2 linked regions of the Mus musculus genome follow. The protein of the gene in region 1 interacts with the protein of each later gene in a pairwise test. Links are inferred from orthologs where the notes say so. Each region holds a gene or a part of one and is shown on either strand. Other genes may lie near its edges.

Region 1 (5,566 bases):
ATTTATTTTTAGGTTTTTGTTTGGTTGGTTTTTTGTTTGTTTTGAGATAGAACCCTGCTATGTAGTTCAAGCTAGCCTTGAACTCTCCGCGATCTCCTGCTTTAGTCTCCCCAGTGCGGAGAGATGAAGGATGTGCAGCACCAGGCCTGGCTCCAGAAGTGAGGGGTCATCAGAATCCAGGTTCACTGTCATCAATTATGACTGACAGCAACAGCAATTCCCTCTAGCCTAGACGGCTTTACCCCTTAGGGCTGCAGCACCTGTGCACTTCACCCCTAGCAGGATTCATTGCCTCACACCACAAGATTTGCTACAGACATGTGGGGTAGGACATCCAGGGTCACTAAGTGACATCTGGGCAGGTGTTCAACTCCAAATGTCTAACTGGGTCTCCCAGGTGGTTCTCTGAGCAACATGATCAGAGATGGGTGAACACGCCCCATTAGCCCAGCAGCGTCCAGTCCATCCCTGCATCCTACAGTCCTTGAAGGGGCCACCCTATTCACAGACCACACACATTAGAGCCCCTAGCACATTTGTTTACATTTCCATTTTCAGGCATGGGCGGGGTTAGCTTGGGGTAGACAGCTGACCTAGCAAGCATAGATTTCTAGGTTCTATTCCCAGCACTACAAATACAAAATTAAAATTTTTTCTCATTTTCTTACCCTTGCTCCAAGCCCTAAATTTGTGTGTGTGTGTGTGGGGGGGTTGTTTGTCTGTCTTGAGACAGGGTCTCTTATATCCCAGGCTGGCCTTGAACTTGCCATACAGCCAAAGATAAATATTGAATTCCTGATTCTCCTCCCTCTACCCCCAGAGCGCTGGGATGACAGCTGGGTTTATGAGGGCTTCCTGAACGCGGGGCAAGTGCTCTGCCAACTGAGTCACACCCCCAGCCCTTTTTCTTCTTTTCCCTCCTTCCTTTTGGCAGGGCTGGGGATGAGACCTTAAACCCTGGATTCAAGAAAGAGACCAGAGGACTGGAGAGATGGCTCAGTGGTTAAGAGTACCAACGGAAGGTCCTGAGTTCAAATCCCAGCAAACACATGGTGGCTCACAACCACCCATAATGAGATCTGCCGCCCTCTTCTGGTGTGTCTGAAGACTGCTACAGTGTACTTATACACATAAATAAAATCTTTTTAAAAAGAAAGATACCAGAGCACTACCACTGAACTACATCCCCGTTCAGATGATACCTTTTAAAGTAATTATAAATTGCACAATATAATTCACGTATTAGAGTAATTCCTACTACCCCCAGTGTGCAGCGGTGGTTCCTGTAGGTTTGGGACAGCCCCCTCCAGTACTTCCCAACTCTGGACACTGAGAATGAACATCCCAGCCGCTCAACCTCATATGAAGGCAGGGACAAGAACAGGTACCGTCTCTTTGGGCCCCCGGTGCTCACCTCTCCACGCTGCTGTGGTGGATGCAGCCGTGGGAACCCCCGACTGCGTAGATGTGGCCATCTATGACCCCCACCCCGATGCGGTTGCGTGGCACGCTCATAGAGGCACAGGGCGACCACTGGTTGGTCATGGGGTTGTAGCAGTCCAGGGCGCTGGAGTCAGTGTTGCCATCCGGAGAGTTGTTGCGGCCGCCCACAGCGTATAGCAGCCCACCCACCACGCAGCCTGCCAGCCCACTGCGCGGCACCTGTAGATCGGCCAGGCGCAGCCAGGAGCCATTGCTCGGGTTGTAGGCCTCCAGGTAGCTGAGCGACTGTCGGAAGTAACCGCCCGCTGTGTAGATGAGGCGGCCCACTTTGGGCGCGCGGCAGGGCACTGCCTGCGTGGGCTTGTGCAGCGTGAGCTCCTGGAATATCTGCACCAGGTAGTCCTTGCAGCGCGCGTCGGCCTGCAGGATCTCACACTTCTGCAGCTGCGTCTGCAGGAAGCGCGGCGTGAGCGCATGGCAGCGCACGGCCCGCAGCAGTGCCTGCACGTAGAAGCGCCGCTGCGGGCAGTCGTATTTGACCCAGTCGATGCACGCGTGGAACACCTCGGACTCGCAGCGTACGTTCAGATCATCCCGGCTGATGAGCGTGGCCAGCTGGCAGTGTGACAGGTTGAAGAACTCCTCCTGCTTGGCCACCTGCAGGGAGCTCAGGTGAGAAGGGAAGCCCTCCATCCAGGCCGAGCACCCATACACCGGGGGTCACACAGGCCACACACTGTGGACTCTTTAGGCTCCTGTATTGATTTTAGTTTTAATTTTTTTAAAAAAATATATATATAGCTAGGTGTAGTGGCACACTCCTATAATCCCCCATATCAGGGGAGGCAGAGGCAAGAGGATGTCTGAATTCAAGGCCAGATTGGTCCCCATAAGCCAGTTCCAGACCAGCTAGGACAACATAGTAAGATCTTATATCAAAATAAACAATTGAACCTAGTCTGGCCTTTAATCCCAGCATTGGACTAATATTCACTTGGAAGGGAGAGGAAGATGTCTGTGAGTTCCAGGCCACCTGTTCTACATAGTTTTTAATTACATTTACTTATTGGCTTATTGTGTATGTGTGTGAATGTACTCATGTCTGATGGGGGGGGGGTCTCACCTTCCTGGGACTGGTCTTCTGGCTTGGCAGTGAGTGCCTTTACTAGCTCAGAAAGGCACTGGGTTCTTAATTTGTTTATTTGTTTGTTTGTTTATTTAACCCCAGGACTCATATGCTGGAAGAATCAACTCCTGCAAGTTGTCTTCTGACCTCCACATGAACTGTGGCACACACATTGCCCCCTAAATCAATACAATACAATACAATTTTTAGATTAATAAAAATAAAACATAAAATGACTGGCAGTTTACAGCTTGGCACTTGTTTTTTTTCAGATGTAGGAATATTTTACACAAATGATGAGACACCTAAGGAATAAGAGTATGGTATAAACAACTTCACTCGAGCCATCAAGGCCCATGTCAAGTCTCAGCACTTGGGAACCTGACATGTGAGAATCTTGAGTTTCAGACAAAAGCCAAGGGCCATGACAACCTGCTATCTCAAAAATCTAAATAAATAAACAAACTACTTTTATGCTGGTCCATATTGACCTTACACAGCTTCAAGGCTCTCTCTCTGTGTGTGTGTATGTGTGTGTGTGTGTGTTTGTCTGTGTGTAACTGGCCTGGAACTTTATGTAGAGCAGGCTGGCCTCACAGATCTGCCTGCCTTTGCCTACCCAGTGCTGGGATTAAAGGTGTGCACAGCCACACTTGGTTTATGTGAGGTGGGCATGGAACCCAGGGCTTCACGCATGCTGGGAAAGTGTCCTAGCAATCCAGCAGCACATGGGCCCTCTGAAGATGGTATGCCCTATGCACAGTGTGCCTGTGCGGTCACTGCCACCCATCTGGTGAGGTCAGGTGTGGACGGCACATGGTGTTCAAAAGCCTTGGGTGCACTTCAGAGTTGGTGATATTCAGAATGCAGTCGTGTCCAGGGGACTTTTCTAGTCACTGCCACCCAAGAGCAAGGCTTTCCCCAGCACTGTCCCATTACTTTCTCTTGCAGACTTCCTGCACTGAGAAACGAAAATGAAAGCAATACCAAGTGAACCCAGGGAAAGCCAAGCAAAGCTGGAGCCTGCATGGGTGAGGCTGGCGGGTGCTGGTGCCTGCCTGCTCATCACACTTTGCCCTGCTCTGGAGGAGATCAAGACAGGGTTTCTCTCTGTAGCCCTGGCTATCTTGGAATTCCCTTGGTAGATCAGGCTAGCCATGAACTCAGAGATCTGCCTGCCTCTGCCTCTGCCTCCTGAGTGCCGCCACCACCACCACACACACACACACACACACCACTTTTTTTAGACAGAGTCTCGCTGTGTAGCTCAGGCTGGCCATCACAACTTTTAACCCCAGGGAGATCAGGCTGCTGAGGCACTGGGAGGGCACATCTTTACCTATTCCTAAGGGCTCTCTGTATTTGGATTAGGGGCTCAGAATCTGAGTTTTTGGGCCAGCAATGTGGCTTTGTGGGTAAAGGCACTTTTCTGCCAGGCCTACCTGAGTTTAACCTAGAAACGTATATAAGGTAGCGAGAGCCACCTCCTGCAATTTGTCCTCCGACTTGCACACAAGATCAGTACATGTATACACACACAAATAAATATAATCTTTTTTTTTTTTTTAACTTCTTCAGAGTTTGGTGTTACTCAGCACTCAGAAAGTGACAGCAAAGACAGGACTTAAAACAAAACAAAACAAAAAGCAACTTCAATAGCCAGGTGTGGTGGCACATGCGGCCTTTACTCCCAAAGGCAGGAAGATCTCTGTTAGTTCAAGGCCAGGCTGGTCTACACATTGAGGTCCATGACAGACAGGACTGTTACCCTGTCCTGAAAAACAAAAATAAATAAAACAAAAAAGCTTCAGCTAAAGAAGACTGTCAAGCCAGGTGTGGTGGCGCACGCCTTTCATCCCAGCACTTGGGAGGCAGAGGCAGGCTAATTTCTGAGTTCGAGGCCAGCCTGGTCTACGGAGTGAGTTCCAGGACAGCCAGGGCTACACAGAGAAATCCTGCCTTGAAAAACCAAAACCAAAATAATAATAATAATAATAATAAGAAGAAGAAGAAGAAGAAGAAGAAGAAGAATACTGTCAAAAAATAAGACCACAGGTGCTCACAGTTGAGGGTACTACTGGCCTCTTCCAGAAGACTCGAGTTCAAATCCCAGCACCCACATGGCAGCTCACAACTGTCTGTAACTCCAAGGTCTGACACCTCACACACAGACAAACATTCAGACAAAACGCCAATCCACAGAAACTAAAGGCAAATAATTTTTTAAAAAAGATTTAAAAACAAAAGTAAAATCAAGTTCCGGGGCACTGCTGGCCTCCATTCTATTAAGTATTGGGAGGGCGAACGTCTGTAACTACAGTACTCGACAGACTGAGACAGGAATCAGGAATTTAAAGTCATCCTCAGATACCCAACCAGATTAGGGCCAGCCTGGACTACATGAGACCCTATGGGAGAAAAGAAGGAAGGAAAAAGAAAACACCCAACAGTTTTCCTCCAGCCTGTCGCAGGGGAGAACGCCACGCTGGCCTATCCCACTTCTGAGCCCAAAGCCCGGCTTCACTCACCTCCCCGAAGTGCATGTAGATATACTCCCGGGCACGCTGGTGCAGTTCAGTGCAGCCGATCTGCTCCGCGAAGTTGGCGATGCCAATGGCGTTGCTGGGGTCCAGCTGCTGCACGAGGAAGTCGCTGCAGGCTCGAACCACGCTGTCAATCTGGTACATGACCGCCCCGTTCATCACGTGCAGGACACACTTCTCGCCCACGGAGATGGAGGCCGTGTAGGCGAACTCAATAAGCCTTTCCATGACCTTAGGGTGGATGCCTTCGATGGACACCACCTCCATGCCCTGCTCCCGAAGCCCGTTGGTGAACATGGCTTTAAAGACTGGGCTGGAGGAGGCCAGCACCACTTTGTGAGCCATGAATTGGGCAGCTGGGATGTCCTCATATTTGACCTGCAGGGTCACGTCACAGAGTTGCTGGCTCAGGCGAAGCTCGTTCATGACGCCAAAAGCCTGCTTGGTGTGATCC
Region 2 (6,026 bases), on another chromosome or scaffold:
TGTATTCTGCTTCCCATATCCCATTTATGTTACAAGGCAATGATAAATTAAGAGATTTAACAAATGTAGGCTCCTCCTAACGGTAATGAACATTTTCTCCAGCAAATTTAAGTTAAGTTGTACAATACTTACAAGAAACTTCCAACAGTGGCAGAAATGTCACAGTAGCTGTAATCTGTCTAATCACTGAGCGAATTTCATCCTGTATGGCTTTCTGGGACTTTTCTCTACGAACACTATAAAAAAAAAAAAAAAAAAAAAAAAAAAAAATCAAAGAAATAACTCCTTCTAGGTTTCATTAAGTTAATTAAAACACGTTGGTAACTCTCTCTGAACAAAATGCTTCCAACAACACAGATGCAATACATTAGGAGACTAAAGATTAATGGCTAAAGATATTCTTGGGTTACTGTATCTGTCCTTCCCATCATTCTTTAAGGCTGATCTTAGTATCTGGTCCTTCTGTGCATGGTAAGTTTCCCAACCACTCTCAGTAAGCATATTTTCAGTAAGTCTTTAACATAAAGGAAAATGGATTCCAACAAATTAACTTGGTAGAACTTTGGTATTTTGCCCACATGCACATTTATGTGCACCACATGCATACCTGTTGCCGGGGATCCCCTGAAACTGGAGTTAAACAGAGTTGTGGGCTGCCATGTGGCTGCTGGAAACTGAACCTGGGTCCTCTAGAAAAGTAGCCAGTGCTCCCAACCACTGAGCCATTTCTCCAGCCTAAATTTTGACTTTTTTTTTTAAAGGTAACATCTAAATACCGGATTCCTGATTGAATCAGGTAAAATAAATTACATACAAATGTTTTTATAAGCTAACGACTTCCTATAGATTGAAGACTTCAGAAACAAACTGCTCTTCATTACAGTACCTTCCAGAAGCACATGCTTAGCATGATAGGCATTTCTGATGTAGAGTGCTTGCAATCTTTAGTTTACAAAGTTCACGGCAATAGGGGAAGTACAGTAGAGCTTCATCTAAATTAGGAATGAGTCTAGGATCATCTCCTGTACGTTTAAGCCAGTGATTACATGGCCCACATATATTATATTGTGAGAGGTTCAGGTATAACCACAAACACGAAGGCCTAATCTCATGGGGTTTTCCCAAAGGCAGTATGCTGAAAGTATCTTATCTACACAATCCCTGACAGGCTATGAGGAACTCAGAAATCCCTCACAGCTGGGCGAGGCGGAGCACGCCTTTAATTCTAGCACTCGGGAGGCAGAGGCAGGCAGATTTCTGAGTTCAAGGCCAGCCTGGTCTACAAAGTGAGTTCCAGGACAGTCAGGGCTATACAGAGAAACCCTGTCTCGAAATACCAAAAAAAAAAAAAAAAAAAAAAAAAAGAAATCCCTCACAAGCTAACAAAAGAACAAAAGTATCTTTAAAAACATACCATAGACAGTAACTGTAAGAAATCAGTTCAATACAATGTGAACTCATGCAACAACATAAAAACAAATTAAGGTAGGAATAACTCAGCTCATACTTACCCTTCCTCTTTTGCAGTTTTGTCACACTCAATATCAAACTGCCATCTTTCAAGGACTTCACCACTTTCAATATTTGAGATGACCACCACCAGTTTCTGAACTGAGCACTTGTACAGCCACTCTGCAACACACAAGGCAGCGCTCAGACTCTAGCCTATGACAGAGACTCTCTTCCAAAGACCCACTCTCGGCCTTACAGAACTCTCACAATTGAACTTCCTTTCTTGCATAAGGAAGACAATTCTCCACTAATAATTTAGCTGAGTTTTAAATTCTCCATATTACTAATAGGCAGAAGGCAGAGCATCAGAACCGTGAACCTGTACTTTCTCTGCAATTCCCAGTGAGAGCATATGACATATACTCATCTAACCACCGCCAGTCACATCTGTGGTGGCTGGTCACAACAGAGACACTATAAGAGCATAAAAAATCGGACTACTCTGGTAGGTGAGGGAAAGATTAGTTTTTACACTAACTGTACAAAGGAGAGGCAAATACAGGTTTTAAATGGGAAGGGCATGCATGCACGCCTGCACACACACACACACACACACACACACACACATGTATATACATGCATACATGGGCAGACTAATTGAAAAGTAAATTCTTTTCAATAAAGTAAATAAATTACATAATTATGAAAAGTCAAGATGCTATGTCATATAAAATCTTACAAGTTAAATTAATGAAACTGTACTTTTAAGAATCAGGAAAGCCACAACTGTGTTTTGGACAGAGTGACCAATTAGCCTTGTGTTTCTAAACTATCATCCTTGCAAGTAAGTGAGCTGCAGGGGGTAAAAGGATCCACAGATACCAGAATTCAAAGCAGATCTTATGCTTAAAAGCCCTGCCGTTTTTGCCTGTGAATTCATATCCAACCTGCACAAGTGTTGATGAATACTCTACTATGGATACAAATAGCAAGGCATGTTTAGAAGTCTGGCCTTAAACTGGACACAGTGGCAAATGCCTTTAGTCCCAGAACTTGGGAGTAGAGCCAGGCTGATCTTTGTGAGTTCAACGATAGCCGGGTCTACATAGCATGTTCAAGGACAGCCAGAGCTACATAAAGAGACCTGTCTCAAAAGCAAAGCAAAACAAAACGGCCTTAAAGACAGATGCCAAGCTAACCATGTTCAGGTGGCCACCAAAAGGCCATTTTAATACTGAAGTTAACAAAAAAAGCAATAAACACTGTTAATGAATTTACAATTAAAACAAACTACAACACCCTTTCACGTACAATAAAACTCAAAGAGAAAAAAAGGCAGTTGCAATGCTTTTAGAATTGGTATTTTGTATGATTTCATTGGGAGCTACAAAGCAAAACACAGAATGGCGAAATCCTTTTAATCGGGTAAAATTTCCAATTTGCTGCAACTGGTTAACCTACAAAACCCACTCTTAAAGCAGCTTAAAGATTCCTAACATCAAGACATTCAGCCTACTTAAAAAGAGGTGGGGATTCCCTCCATTGCTTGCTTCCTCCCAGTTGAGAATGACATTTGAGAAGGCATGTTGCTTTAAGTTACTTGGGACACAAACCTGTAAGATCACACACTGAAAACGTGATTACCTTTTAGCTGTTCCACCACATTATTGAGATACTTTATGAGCTCGGGGTCAGTAGTTGTAAGCAAGGTGAGTCCATATTTCTGCACTCTAGTAAAGGTTTCCGACGGATAAATGCCACGCTGATACAAAATGCTGTTGATGCCAAATGCTGAAAACGAAAGAAATAAAGCCGTAACCGTGTAATAACGTTTAAGTCTCCCAGAAAGCAGAGTAGGCACAAAAAGACACGGAAAACCTTTAACCCAGCAATGTCCAACTTCGCAGGTTTGCTAAGTGTAAATACAGAGCATGTGGTCAGAGGATGTCAACACAGACCCCAGCTTTCAGAGAGCGAGTAAGATGATGACCCAGGTCAGCCCCGTTAGGTTCCAGGAGGCCCAGGCCTGCGCTGGGTGGTGCAGCGTTCCCCGCCCCCGGGAGGATCCGTGGTTCCGTCCTAGCGCGCGTCCTAAGGCCCGGCTCAGCCTCAGCTCTCTCTGGCGGCGGGGGCTGCGCTCAGCACTCACAGAAAAACTCGGCCACGATTTCTGCGCTCCCACGCAGGGTGATGCCTTGCTCTCGGGCGAGCTGCTGTGCCATCACTAGATCGAACGGAGAACACTACCAACCTCACCGCAGACGGCGCCCTAATGGCTTCTAAGCTATTCCCCGCCACCCGGTTCAAAAATAACTACGCAGCCCGCCGGTTGCTCGGTGCGCAGGCGTAATGAGCCCTAAGCCCCACCTACGTCGCCAGTTTCCGGCTGGCTTTGTAACTCCGAATCCCTCCCTAAGGCCGCCTCAGGCTTCCGTTTTGTTCCCTAAGCCCCTCCCACATTAGAGAGCCGGGTCTCTTCAACATTCCGCTCCACATCGGCTCTTCCGCCCTATGCCCAGTTGCACCACGGGTTAAAGCCCCGCCCAAAGCGACTTGTATCCGGCCCTGGCTCCGCCCTCGCTGGCTGACCGAATGAGCAAGCGCAGAGTGGTTGGGGCGTCTTGTTCCAGGTCCTGGTGACCTACAAGGTCCGTACTGTGCAGGACCTCGGATGAGGTGACCTAGAAGCGGCCCAGAGATGGTCCTGAGATTACCTGCCTGTCAAACCCGTGGTCTGAGCATCCCTGAAGCATGGTCTCAGCTTCGAGGATAGTTTCAAGTCTGGGAGAACCTGGTTTTTGGTTTTGTTAAATATGATGAAGGGAACTAGGTGGGACAGAAGCTTAATGATGCTTGTCACCAAGTAGAGAAGCGAACCCCTGCAAATTGTGTACACACACACACACTAATAATCATTTAGTAATGTCTTTATTTTTCTATACTACATAGATTTTATAAGTCCACAAAGGATTTAAATGATAGAGACACTTGATTTCCTTTTTTTTTTTTTTTTTTTTTTTTTTTTTGCAATTAGCTTGCTTTTAAGTTTTTAGTCATATGTACTTTCTTTTTGATCGTTTAAGGCCTATACCAGAGCATGTACGATTACATATGGGATTCATGCTACAGTTTTAATATTGTACAGTAGTATTGTGTCCAGGAGATGGCACATCTTCCAACTATGCTAAATGGTTCTAACTCTGGTACTCAGACTGCATTTTGAAACCAGTTGACTATTAGAGATACTATCATATGCAGGTTTAAGAAGATGGCTCAGTGGGTAAGAGTGACTGCTGTTCCGAAGGTCCTGAGTTCAAATTCCAGCAATCACATGGTGGCTCACAACCATCTGTAATGAGATCTGACGCCCTCTTCTGGTGTGTCTGAAGACAGCTACAGTGTACTTATATATAATAATAATAATAATAATAATAATAATAATAATAATAAATAAATCTTTGAAGAAGAAGAAGAAAGAACAAGGAGAAGAAAGAAGAAGGTTTAGAGCCTGAACTAAACAGATGCCAGGGAAGTTGTATAAACAATACATCAGAGAAAGAAACTGTGACATATGAGGAGGAAAGAAATGGTGGTATAGATAAAAGTGAGGTACTAGCTCTTTCTTACCAAACGGTGGTTGGACTTAATCTAATTTATTTCAGAAACATTAAAAGATCTGGAATCTTTGATGGTTGATTTCTTTCCTATTTCCTTTTGACTGCGTGGTTTAACATTACCTCTCTCCCCATTTATTAAAAGCAATACTATAAAATACTTGAAAAATTCTCAGTTTCTCATATTTACTTTGACTCACAATTTTGTAGACTCTTGCTGTGTATTATTTAGGGTAAGAATGTTTGAACAGGGAGGAATAGAAATTGACCCCCCCCCTTGGTATTAAAATAAGTATTTTTTTTTTCTAAATCTAGAAGCACATAAAGTTTGAGGCTGAAGAAATCCATTAATGACTTAATCAAATTATAGTATAGTAGATCTAGAGTGGTTGCACAGTTAATTCAAGATCCAGTTTTTAGTTAGTGGCAGATTTATTAGAGAATGTATACTCCCTAGTTTAGTCTCCTTTTATAGCATATTTGTTTGAAAAATGCAAATGAGATTCCTTATTGTTGTGGTTATGATTTGAGAAAAAGTTTACTTGATTTGGGCTAAAAACATTTACTTATTAACTAATAACACACACAACTTGTCAAGAAATTTTGCAGTAATAAACCATAAAGAATTTTGTGTGGATACACATTTAATCCCAGATACCAGAAGAGGGCAGTGTTTAACCACACAATGCAACCTTTGAAAAACAATGCAAATGAAGGCTTCAGTGCACCAAGGGAGAAAAAACAGAGATTAATAGTTTCTAGGCATTTGTGTGTTGATAGTGAACCGCAGAATGACATGTTGAATTGTAATATACTGCGGATTTATATTCTCTTTAGAATTTAAAATATGTGCATCATACGTATTGGAAATATATATAAATAAGGGTCTTGAAACTAAGCGGTTTATTTTAAATATCATAGAAAAATTTTAATCTGCTAATTTTTTCTTAAAAATAGTAT

What was found. The genes of interacting proteins can lie anywhere in the genome.
Region 2: the proteins of Keap1 (region 1) and Mad2l1 interact in binary tests that used the Homo sapiens proteins (3 or more experiments, as listed by UniProt). The two-hybrid records come from large-scale screens. The link is inferred for Mus musculus from reciprocal best matches to the Homo sapiens genes KEAP1 and MAD2L1.

Annotation. Positions count from the first base shown.
Region 1 is NC_000075.6:21,231,974-21,237,539, forward strand, and holds part of Keap1 (kelch-like ECH-associated protein 1), read right to left. Parts: coding exon 5,098-5,566; intron 2,101-5,097; coding exon 1,415-2,100; intron 1-1,414. UniProt on the Homo sapiens protein: Substrate-specific adapter of a BCR (BTB-CUL3-RBX1) E3 ubiquitin ligase complex that regulates the response to oxidative stress by targeting NFE2L2/NRF2 for ubiquitination.
Region 2 is NC_000072.6:66,533,175-66,539,200, reverse strand, and holds the start of Mad2l1 (mitotic spindle assembly checkpoint protein MAD2A), read right to left. Parts: upstream 3,981-6,026; 5' UTR 3,675-3,980; coding exon 3,602-3,674; intron 3,244-3,601; coding exon 3,097-3,243; intron 1,633-3,096; coding exon 1,512-1,632; intron 237-1,511; coding exon 133-236; intron 1-132. UniProt on the Homo sapiens protein: Component of the spindle-assembly checkpoint that prevents the onset of anaphase until all chromosomes are properly aligned at the metaphase plate.